Linked DNA regions of Bombyx mori. The protein of the gene in region 1 interacts with the protein of each later gene in a biochemical or structural test. Links are inferred from orthologs where the notes say so. Each region holds a gene or a part of one and is shown in the gene's direction. Other genes may lie near its edges.

Evidence for each region. The genes of interacting proteins can lie anywhere in the genome.
Region 2: the proteins of peroxisomal biogenesis factor 19 (region 1) and peroxisomal membrane protein PEX13 form a complex in vitro, tested with the Homo sapiens proteins (2 studies listed by BioGRID and IntAct, with this or other methods). The link is inferred for Bombyx mori from reciprocal best matches to the Homo sapiens genes PEX19 and PEX13.

Annotation. Positions count from the first base shown.
Region 1 is NC_085129.1:20,656,063-20,662,159, forward strand, and holds part of peroxisomal biogenesis factor 19, read left to right. Parts: intron 1-1,248; coding exon 1,249-1,334; intron 1,335-2,008; coding exon 2,009-2,134; intron 2,135-4,587; coding exon 4,588-4,739; intron 4,740-5,283; coding exon 5,284-5,404; intron 5,405-6,097. UniProt on the Homo sapiens protein: Necessary for early peroxisomal biogenesis. Acts both as a cytosolic chaperone and as an import receptor for peroxisomal membrane proteins (PMPs).
Region 2 is NC_085126.1:5,627,854-5,634,628, forward strand, and holds the start of peroxisomal membrane protein PEX13, read left to right. Parts: upstream 1-3,081; 5' UTR 3,082-3,295; coding exon 3,296-3,675; intron 3,676-4,188; coding exon 4,189-4,325; intron 4,326-4,686; coding exon 4,687-4,823; intron 4,824-6,727; coding exon 6,728-6,775. UniProt on the Homo sapiens protein: Component of the PEX13-PEX14 docking complex, a translocon channel that specifically mediates the import of peroxisomal cargo proteins bound to PEX5 receptor.

The DNA of each region.
Region 1 (6,097 bases):
CACATATGTTGAGTAACAAGTCATTTCATTTCTTTTTTTTTATTGTTAGCAATTGAAGTATGTAGAAACAAAATCATAATCTTCCTGTACTGGAACTAAGTGATAAAACCTGTATCTCTACTTCCTGTATCTTTACTTCATATACTTACACAAAAAGATACAACATTACTATAGTCGGATTTTTTATTAGACGAAGTCAACTGACGTTTACTGTGTTGTCAGTTTTTGATGAAATAAAAATAGTGTTGTGACAAAGTGAACGATTGAAAAAACTCCTGAATTAATGAAATTGCCTCGATTGTCTAGTGAATAGTTGGTGTGCCGAATTGCTGATATCGGGTACGGGGTTCGAATTTTAGGCGTGCTTTGTACATACCAACGAGTTTTCGACGAAATATTATGTTCCTATAGTATCTACCTGTACTGAATACCGAGTGTTTTAAACATTAAGAAAAACATTGCGAGGAAGCTTGTAAGACTGTCCTATTTCCAATACATCATATAGTTGAAATTATAGACGTATAAAATATAACAATTATAGGTAGGTAATGAAAATAAAAAAAACTGATTGTAGTTACATACTACTAGTAACATATATTGGAGCACTTTAATACAATTTTATTGTAAAATATAAATAATATTCTTTTATAGTTTGAAATTGATGATTAACTCTTCACACTCATTGTTCATTCATGTGATTGAACGAGAACTGAAGGCATCACTATTACTTTAAATATAGCAACATTATTTCACAAAGTGACATTAGCTACTGTCAGCTGGCTTCGTCTAATTAAAAATACGACTATAGACAAAAATTAAACCAATATTCATGAATTAACAAAAGTATTGAAATGAATGTATTAATGTACCCCCTGTGTGTAATGAGTGTGAGCATGAGTGAGCGTAAGAGGGTGTGTGTGGGTGTAATAAAAAATATTAAAAGTTATTTAATAAAATTTCAGCATCCTTATAGTTACAATTTTACAACCAATTAAAGTTAGAAGTTTTGCATTTGTTGCTTGCTGCTTAGAGGATATATAATATTAGGGTGGTTATTAATTTTATCGTAGAGTGGGACTTCTGTATCTAATTTAAACGTAAAAATAAGTACCCACACTAATTAATACACTACAAAAGGAATATCTGAGATCATACTTTTAGGGTATATAATAATATTATAAATTTTTGTTATTATAAATTATTATTATCAATTATTATTATAAATTATTATTATATTTATACTTTCAGAAGCAGCATCACAGGTGTTAAAGCAAGGTGAATCGAGTGAAACAGAACCAAAGACAGATGACACGGCAGTACCGAAGGCAGATCAGGTAGGTACAGAAGGCTTGATTGTAGGCGTGTGAGATATAACTGGCAGACTTCTGTTTTTTTTATTGCTTAGATTAGTGGACGAGCTTACAGCTCACCTTGTGTTAAGTGGTTGCTGGAGCCCATAGATATCTACAACGTAAATGCGCCATCCACCTTGAGATATAAGTTCTAAGATCTCAGTATAGTTAGAACAGCTGCCCCACCCTTCGAACTGAAACGCATTACTGCTTCACGGCAGAAATAGACGGGGTGGTGGTACCTACCCGTGTGGACTCACAAAACGTCCTACCACCAGTAAACCAATTGTGTGAGGGTGGTCGTGGTCATCATTCACCATCATTGCTGTGGGCAGATGTTTTGTGCCTCAAGAGCAATCGCCATTTCTCCCGGCTTATGGTGAGCCTGGTACACTCATGTAAACAACCGCCAACTCAACAGTTGACTTGACTTGATTGGTCCATCGCAGACAGTATGTGTAATAACAATAAAATATATCTCTTATGATAATTGAATAACATACTAAATAGTATGTGTATGAGAAGAGTTTTGTGTCTACAGCAGTGTAGAACAACTTAGAGAATACTGTAATTTTTGTCGTATTGTGGAAATATTATTATTATTATAATAATATTATATTATCATTCATAATCATCATAGTATCTCTTCTTTTTAGGTCTCGGCAGCCATTTCGCAGACATTACAGAATTTGAACTCCAACTCTGAGAATCTTCAGACGCCTTTCTCAGAACAAGATCTAGCGAACATGTTTAATAATTTCAATTTAGGTGAAGGGGGCCAGGTAATTATTTATTAAAATGTTTATGTATGTTCCATGGCGTACCGTAGATTTTCCCGTTTAGTTGTAAAAGCAAACAAATATCAAAGAATATAGAAATTATAAATTACAATTGTCAGAATGGGTGATGTTCTCAATTTTGTAAATATAATCATTATTTCCGATCTGTGTCTATGTGTGTTTCTGTCCTTTTTTGTAGACTTAATTTTTTTATTAATTATTCAAAGAAATTATATCTGCATAAATAAAAAATACATTATAGATAATCATAAGTCGGTAATAATAATAAATTGGTAGACAGCGGCTTGGCTCTACCCCTCACATTGCTGAAGTTCATGGGCGACGGTAACCACTCGATGCTCGTCTGCATACAAGGCCAATAAAAAAAAATTATTAGAAAAGTCAATAGAGAATAGACAACACACTCAATGCATGGGTTATAAGTGATGCTAAGATAATAATAATATAATATAAATATAAATATTTACTAACAATCACGCCACATTACCTGGTCCCGTACTAAGTTCGTGAAGAACTTGTATTACAGGTACCAGATAACGGAAATAAATGTAAGATTTTTATTATACACATACATATATTTAATAAACATCCATAACCCTGGAAAAGACATTTCTATATTTATCATACAAATATCTTCCCTTTTTTTTTTTTTTTTTTTTATTGCCCTTGTAGGCAGACGAGCATACGGCCCACCTGATGGTGAGTGGTTACCGTCGCCCATGGACTTCAGCAATGCCAGGGGCAGAGCCAAGCCGCTGCCTACCGCTTAATACTCTCCACAAGCCTCGTTTGAAGAAGGACATGTCATAGCGCTCGGGAAACACCGTGGAGGGGAGCTCATTCCATAGCCGGATGGTACGTGGCAAAAAAGACCTCTGGAAACGCACTGTGGATGACCGCAGTGGCTCCAGGTAGTATGGATGAACTCTACTCCGGTGGCGGGCGGTGCGATGGTAAAAACGAGATGCCGGTATCATCTCGAACAATTCCTCAGAGCACTCCCCATGGAACATACGGTACAAAATACAGAGGGAACCGAAGTCCCTCCGCAGACCCAGAGGTTCCAAACGATCCGTGAGACCGGGATTATCGACAATCCGAACGGCCCTTCTCTGTATGGAGTCAAATGGAAGAAGCTGGTATTTGGGAGCCCCGGCCCAGAGATGGGAGCAGTACTCCACGCGAGGCCGGACTTGTGCTTTATAAAGCAAAAGCCTTTGTCCAGGCGTGAAGTACCGCTTCGCTCTGTTGAGGACTCCCAGCATTTTGGACGCCAACTTGGCTTTGCCTTCCAAATGACTCCGAAACTGGACATCGCTCGAAATGTCGACCCCAAGTATCCCAATACTCTCGGAAGGTTGCAGGGATACTCCTTGGAATTGCGGCGCCATGACAAAGGGGTCCTTCTTCGCAGTGAACGCGCAAACTTGTGTCTTTAACGGGTTGAATTGAACCAAGTTCAATTCACCCCATTTGGAGACTCGCCCCAGAGAGTTCTCCACTTCAGACACAAGTTTTGATCGTCTCTCTTGCACCACGCTCCGAGAGAGACTCTGATGGCCGATATATCGCGCATCCCCCGTGCTGTCATCCGCATAGCAATGCATGCCATCAATAGACAGCATGTCATTGATATACAGGATGAAAAGCGTGGGGGAGAGCACCGAACCTTGTGGAACGCCAGCGTTAATGGTCATGGTATCAGAACAGTCACCGTCTACAACGACCGTGATGCTCCGCCCATCCAAAAAGCTAGCGATCCACTTGCAGAGACCCTCGGGGATTCCGTAAGATGGTAGCTTCGACAGAAGTGCCCTATGCCAGACCCTGTCGAATTCCTTCGCGATATCAAGGCTCACAGCAAGAGCCTCGCCCTTGCTCTCCAAGGCTTCAGCCCACCTGTGAGTAAGGTATACAAGAAGATCGCCAGCTGAGCGACCGTGACGGAAACCGTACTGTCGGTCACTGATCAGCTGGCGATCCTCCAGATACTTCAGGAGTTGTATATTAATTATTCGCTCCATCACCTTGGAAAGCAAGGAAGTTATCGCGATAGGCCTATAGCTCGATGGGTCCGACCGGTCACCCTTCTTGGGGATAGGGTGGACGTGGGCAGTCTTCCATGAAGACGGAACCCTGTTAGCGCAATAAGAGATGCGATACAAACGCGTTAGCGCAGGCGTCAGCTCAGGGGCGCACGTTTTCAGAACCACTGCAGGGATGCCGTCTGGCCCGCTCGACTTATGGACGTCCAGGAGTCGGAGTTCCCGCCTGACTGCACACTGTGTAAAGCAGATCTCCGGCAGGGAACTATCACACCGGAGGATGTTCCTCCCTTGGCGGGATTTGAACCCGCGACCCCCTAGTGTAGTGACCATGTCACTTACCACTACACCAGACGGCCGTTCAAGATGTAACGTATTGGTATTTTTCAGGAAGGAAACATGTTCCTGCCCTTCATGCAGGGGATGATGCAGTCGCTCTTGTCGAAAGAAGTTTTATACCCATCTTTGAAGGAGCTAGTCGACAAATATCCAAGTTGGTTGAACGAGAACAAGACAAAGATTGAACAAAGCGAATACGAAAGGTGAATATTTTATGTTTTTGCTGTATCAAAGCGAGCTTAGCTTTGAGGAGGCACCTGGTAATGAGTGCTTTAAATCAAGCCACCAACCTGAAACTGCAGATCAGGACGGTACAAAGCTGCAGAGGACTTCATTGTAGGAGTGAGATATATAACTAGCAGACTTCTTTGTTGTATCACTCTTGTCAGAGCGGTCATGGTCGTTATTCGGATCCTTACTGTCCGCCTTGAGACTTGAGGTCGAATTGTCAATTGTATTGTACAGGCGGTTTTCCTTCAAATCAAAACCCACAGTCATCATGATATTGCAACAGAAATAAATAGCACTACTGGTCTTCACAAACCCACAATAGTACCAGAAAATGTCGGTGCTTGATTCCAGTGCGTTGGTATAATACTTGGAGAATGCTGCTGCTTATTCTGCAGTAAATTCCTTAGTCACCTTGGTCGACATCCATGGAAAGAAATGAAGTACACCTTAGGCTCATCATACTAGGCACTGGAAAGAATTACAAATCTGACGACTAAAAAAACAACTGTTTCCCAGATTCGAAAAACAGCAAACGTTAATGCAGCAAGTATGTGCTGAACTCGAGAACGAATTGGATAGTGACAGTGAAGAAGTTAAGAGAAAACGCTTCGAGAAAGTGTTGGAGTTGATGCAGAAGGTATGTTTGATTATTAATGTCTAAACCAGGGGTGGGCAAAAGCCGGCCCGCGGGCCGGATCCGGCCCTTTTGCTAATTTTATCCGGCCCGTTGAAAAATTCCGCACATAAATTTTTTTAAACTCTTTTATGAGATTTTGTTGACATCAGCATTAAAAAAGCATATGCGGTAAAAAAGCATATGCGGTATAGTCCTCCGGCCCGGGAGACATTTTGAAAATTTCATTTTGGCCCGCGCTTTAAAGTATTTGCCCACCCCTGGTCTAAACGATGGTCTGTTAGGATAGAAACTTCTGAACCTATGAAGCGTATCTGCGTATGATTGGCTCCAGTGAGGATTTCCTGTGGTAGGAATGAATGAGAACTAAAGAACACTAAATATCCTCATCAATGATACACTTATAATAGTGGTAAGACGTCTTGTGAGTCCGCACGGGTAGGTACCACCTATTTCTGCCGTGAAACAGTAATGTGTTTCGGTTTGAAGGGCGAGGCAGTCGTACTGTTAAAAGTGAGCCTTTACAACTCATGTCTCAAGTTAGGTGGCGGAGTTTACGTTGTAGATGTTTATGGGCTCCGGTAACCGCTTAACATCAGGGGGGCCGTGAGCTCGATCAACCATATTCTACAGTAGATCTAGTAGATCTTGAGGCACTCTTCTTATAGTCATTTGGATGACCATTAAATGCTTAGC
Region 2 (6,775 bases), on another chromosome or scaffold:
TTTTTTTTCTTTTACGCAACACTCATAATCATTAGCGTCACTTTTCGTTGGTGATTGTAATGCAACAGATTTGTTTCTCTGAAGAGCTAACGAGCTAAACAAAAGCCACATCTGTAGCTAAGCCTTTTGAAGTTAAGTCTAATAAAAGATGCACATTCAAGAATGTAGTACAAACGAACACAGAAGCTAACATATATTGGAAGACTGTTTGAATAGTACATTGTTTTGGATTTATATTAATAATTGTATTACAATGCATCAACAATAAATTATATAACTTTTTTGGTATCCTTCATTCATCACTTTACCGAGTATTATGTTTGAAGATTTCAGGTTCAAATTATACAAAATATAATATTATTTGCTTTATATATTTGAGTTACAACGGCGAATTAAACATTAGTCATCTGAAACAATGTCTTAGATTCTTTACTACAAAAGTATGTTAAGACTGTTAAGCCAATACTTTTGCTTTAATGTGATAGCAACACTGAAAGAGAACTCACACATTCTTCATATTTTAATACTAAATAAAATAGTGTATTTTTTGTTTAATAAGGTCCATTTTTGCAGAAATCTATTTTATACTTTTTTTCTTTTTATTCTTAAATGGGCTATGTAGTGAGAATTTTCTTCTTATTAGACAGGCATTGGTGTAGAAAATAATAATTTGGATTGTTAAAATTAAAATTTCATTATTTTATTCATTATATTAACTAAGATTTCCAAGATTGCTTTAATTTATTTTATTACACAATCTTACTGTTGCTATGAATATTACAAGATCTAATTGCTTCACTGACAATATAAGATTTAGTTCTTCTGTATCACAGAATTTAATCTATAACATTAAGCACTGAACTGTTTCTCAATCTATTATTTATTTTTTCAAATTAATTGTAGTTTGAATGTTGAAAGGAGTTAATCTGACAATCTTCCGAAAAATATTGATAATTTTAATCAACGTCAAAGTTCTTTTTGTTTAATTAAAACAAAATACAATTTCATCATTCAATTCATTCAATGAACTTGAAGATTATGAGTACATATTACTATAACATTATATAGGGACTCACTAAAACCAATCGACACCATTTAGCCTATTTTAATTTATTTAGTGGTGAACGAAGTATTGACGCCGATTGGCTTCATTGCATTATCTTTCAGTTATCCCGTCGAATACAATACTTCAATTATATCAGTAAAAACACTATGTTTGTATGCAAAAGTAATATTTGTAAGAACATTCCGAGAGATCTACTTAGAGAAAACATTCTATGAGGTTTGTAAACAACACCACTAGCTGAAACATCGATACGAGAAAAGTTGGTAATCTGCCGAACACAAATCGTATTTTAACGTCTAGAAAATAACTTAATACAGCACAGACACACTTACCGATTAATATAACAATTATTTCTTCGTTTAATAACTTATTTTAATACTGAATGTTTACAATAATTTTGAAAACAAGAGTTTTTCACACAAATTATTGACACTTATCATTAGGCATAGAGCATTTTTATTATAGTAGTAGTAGTTTCATTTTTTCAACTAGAATGACAAAGACATCAAACCATACAGCCTAACCTTTTGTATATTCAATTTTATTAAAAATGATATGACGCGAAATGAATTGAAGGTGATTAATTGAAAAAGATGAAGACACAAATAGGGATGAAATATAAACTGGGTTAAATAGTGGATATTTTCTGAAAATTTTTCAGTGGACTTTTTCAAAAACCTTGAGAAGCTACGTCTAGCGACTTTGTTTCATTTTCTTCTCCTTTCCGTTCACGATATTACGACTTTCACGATATTTAATAGTTATTAAACCACCGTTATTATACATTTAACTCCGAAGAAACACAAAATTAACAAAAAAGAACTATTTGAATTTATGTAAGGTATACACAATTATTTTCTTTCAATTATCTTTCAATTGATCAAGCAAACGAAATGTAGTCAATACGATATTGTTTGTAACAAAAGCCTAATAGTCCAGTCATTTTAGGCCGAATTGGGTGAATACCTCGGAAAATCGACATACCCAGTATATTAACACGTAAAAATTTGTATTTCGGCTTCTTTTTCTTTATTGCTTAGATGGGTGGACGAGCTCACAGCCCACCTGGTGTTAAGTGGTTACTGGAGTCTATAGACATCTACAACGTAAATGCGCCACCCACCTCGAGATATAAGTTCTGAGGACTCAAGTATAGTTAGAACGGCTGCCCCACCCTTCAAACCGAAACGCATTACTGCTTCACGGCAGAAATAGGCAGGGTGGTGGTACCCAACTCCGCGGACTCACAAGAGGTACTACCACCAGTAATTACGCAAATTATAATTTTGCGGGTTTGATTTTTATACACGATGTTATTCCTTCACCGTGGAAGTCAATCGTGAACATTTGCTAAGTACGTATTTCATTAGAAAAATTGGTACCCGCCTGAGATTCGAACACCGGTGCATCGCTCAACGCGGATGCACCGGAGGTCTTATCCTTTAGGCTACGACGACTACATCATCAACGGCATTCTAAAACTAATTTCAAAATTCACATAATTGGATGGTCGCAACTTTTACAGCCAAGGGTCAAAGGTCACAGAAATTGATATTATTTTTTACATAAATTTCGTTTTCTATGGATTTTACCCTATTTATATTTATTATCATTATTGTAGAGAATTAAATATCAACAACTTTTCTATTTAAAGTTTTTTTATACCTTGAACTATTTTTGAAATAAAGGGCATAGAGCTCACGGTCTGAGAATTATATCTGAGATCAACTTGTAGATGGTAGCCCCGATCAAAAACTCGTAATACTAAGGTTAAAATTTATTGCTAAATATATAAATATTTTTTTTATTTACTTTTACTTTAGTTTTAGTCAATGGGGAATTTAGCAGCTCCTACACTAAGAAGCTATTTCTGTCTGTTCTTAAGATTGAAGGGTTTGAAAACGTTAAATTTTGGCAAAAAATGAACATGATCATTTCCTTAATACATTTTCTTTTTTTGGCGAAAACAATTGAAAATTTTAAAATCATTCATCGTAAATTGGTTCCCGTCAAAAATGTCAACTGTCACATTAAATCTAATTTCAACACAACTTTATGCAAAATAGAAGAAATTATATCCAAAATAAATACGTACCTATGTACAATCTGTTTTGTGATAAATATCTAACGAGATAACACTATTGTCACATGTAGTTTATCAGCAAATAAGAATTTAAACAAGAAGCTTACCGCGCAGTAATCTTTGAATTTCGTGTCTAAAAACCGAGAATGAGCGAACCAAGCCATATTCAAAATAAAATGGACTTCGGCTTGGTTAACGCAGGCGCACTAGGTAACATCGGGGAGGCTTCCAATGTTTCCAATTTCCGGAATCCTATAGCATCGACTTCGACCGAAGCGTACGGGCACAGTTTACCCCCTCTGCCTCCGCGACCCGAGATGGGGTATCCAACTGTTTCTCAAGGAATGACGCAGCCGTACGGGGGTATGCAGTATGGGATGGGAAATTATGGTGGTTTCGGATATGGAGGATACGGCGGCGGTTATGGAATGGGAGGAATGGGTGCCATGGGCCTGAATGGTATGGCCCCTTATGGTGCGTACAACCGTTACGGATCTCCACTGGGCTATGGAGACATTGAGAGCAGGTTAGATATTAAAATACTTTTATTATTAGAGCACAACAAAGGAAATTCTCTATAAAGTAAAATTTATTGCTGCACCAAGAAATATAAATAAGAAAATGTCAAATACAAAGCATAAAATGTTTAAATGGAAGTAAATTATGTCTACATACTACAAGAATAGATTCCATTCATAGAGGAAATGATTTGACAATCTATTTTTTTCTTTGTTTTGCCTCTTCACCTCAACCTACATACAATTACATACAATTTTTTAAACTTATTAAACATTTTGATTTGATTTATTGATTCATATTCAACAGATATATTTTACCATGGATACTGGAAACGTACACAAAAGATTAGAATAAATACAGCTAAATTCCAAAACAATGGCAAACAAAATCAAATTAAATACTGTCTGAGTAACAATCAAAACTGAATCAATTGTACAATAGTCAGCATCACTTGACTAAAGAGGGAATGTGTGTTGCTTGATTTCCAAAAATGATATGAAGCTCCTGTATGTATTTACAGATTTATTCAATTGGCAGAGGAGAATTCAAGGCCAGCTTTTGACTCAATACAGAGCTTAGTCAGTGCTGTAGGCAGTATAGCTATGATGCTGGAGAACACCTTCTTTGCTTTGACTAGCTCATTTCGTGCTATATTAGGTAAGTACAGCAACACAATTGCTTGTAAATCGAATTCAGGTGTATTTATAATGCAACAACTGGTGTCACAAAAAAATATCATATCCATACACTGTTACAACTAATTTTTGAAAGTATAATCTTAAAGTTTACCTAAATCACAGTGTTTTGAATAATAATGTGGTTTTTCTTGTTGTATATATGATTATTTGGTAGTGGACTATATAATATAATCTGTTTTAAAAGTAAGTTAGTGTTGATATGGATTTTCTTTCATAACTACATAATTGATTTGTTTCCTTATTGATATTTGGTTGGGGTCATTGTGCCTCCCTTGTGTGTATCCTTTGAGTTATCAATCGAAAACAATCATTTTTGACAGGTGTCGCTGAAAACTTTGGTAGGTTGAGAACAGTATTTGCCCAGTTCTGGTCAACATTTGCAGTAATACGAACACTGAATTGGATTTTCAAGAAACTCCTTGTAATGCTTGGCATTAGATCTGAAACTGAATTTAAGGTAAGGTAATTAATTTAAAATTAAAAGCCCATCTCAATGTTTGTCATATCTGTATTATAAAAAAAATACAAAAATTTACATCTTATATTCTCAATGTCCACGTGATGGAACTACATAGCTAAGTCTGCAAAAAGTATATACTTTCGAAAATATCCTGTACTTTGAAAAACTTTGTACATTTAAAAAATCTACAACCTCTGAGTACCTTGAATTTTAATTTATAACAATATAACCAGAAAATATCAAAGATTTAATTGATAGGTTAGTGTTTTAAACATATTATTTCACTGAATTTATTCTTTTTGAGTTTAGTAAATTGTTATTCTACACTCAAAATTCTGCATGTTAGGACTGAGCTTTTTTTTTTATTGCTCTTGTAGGCAGACAAGTATACAGCCCAATAAAGACTACCAGTCTCATATTATGTATTAGTACATAAAATCAAGAGCCTGTGAACAGACTTATCTTTGTTATAGCAGATACATCCCCCATAGTCTGGGTCTTTGTAAACTTGTTGTACAATGATATATAGTAATAGTTTCAGATTCAGTATTCAGATGCTAAAATATCTTTGAGCCGTATTCCATCCAAATTCGTTCAGGTATTTTTGCATGATTAACATACATTTATACTCATATTTATAAGATTTGTATAGAAGTATGGATATCAAAAACTAGCAGGCAAAGCTAATAAAAAAAAATTAAAAGAGAACACCATCTTTTACAAAGTAATATACCTAACAATATCAATATATGTGTATAGTGGAATTAATTAAATATGCATTATTAAGGATAACTCAAGAACCATTGTTCATATCTTCATAAAATTTAAATGGGATCACATTCCCACGTGAATCAGTTTTAGCAAAGAATAATTAGATGTTCACCTGAAAAAAGGTTCTGAGATAATAAAAAAACACAGTCGATTTGAGAATCTAATCATTTTTGAAGTCTGTAAAAAATAAACTACGTTATTAATTGAAAACTTATAATACAAATTGTTACCGCAACCCGCGGCCGGCATTATGGATAGATTATTAAAAAAAAAAAACATATATTATTGAATTACAATATACAATGTTTTTAATCTTATCCGGTAACGCTAATAGAAAAACATTGCGATAATATTCTTATCAATTAAGAGAGAGAAGGAATCCTTGGGTCCACATGATGAAACATTATCGAGATTATTTATCGGAAACTACATTTTATTCGTTTCTAACAGATAACTCGACGAAATAAATTAATTATCTCTAAGTTTACGACAGCGTGACAATATGTAGAAAAAAAATTATGATAATAATATAATATAGTCATAAAAGCAGGCGAACAGTATTTTTTTTTGACAACGCTACTTTCGAAAAATACTCTTTTTATTCTATAGCCCTTGTTGGCAGACGAACTGATAGTGAGTGGTTACCGTCTCTCATGGACGTTAGGAATGCCAGAGGCAGAGCATAGCTCAATTCGGAAACGACTTGTATTTAAGAAGAAGTAAAAAGTGAAACTTCTCTGCCATAATTCAATTATTGCCATACAGGGATAAAAGAATATTGTTACATAATTTTATATATAAATTTTCAAGCATAATGTTTATAATGGAAGTAAACTATGTGTTACGCACGCAACTACATACGTCACAACTTAAAAATGTCATCTGTTTATCCAAACACGTGAAAAGAAGTCTTATCTTGAATTTTCTGTAATAATGTGTTCTCTTTTTTCGTACCTACGCTGATAGCCTTGAGAGGCTATTTCAGCTTCGCCCTAACGTGTAGGTGAGCTCACGGGGCTCAAACTGGAGTGTTGCTAACACTGGCCCTAGCAAGTGCAGTGCTTCGCAGAATCTACCACCGGATCGCAAATGCGACCCACCGAGTAATGTGTGGTTTGTGTTCTTTGTAGGCGTGGGCGGAGGCGGTGGCAGCCACGCGGGGCGGAGACCAAGCCGCC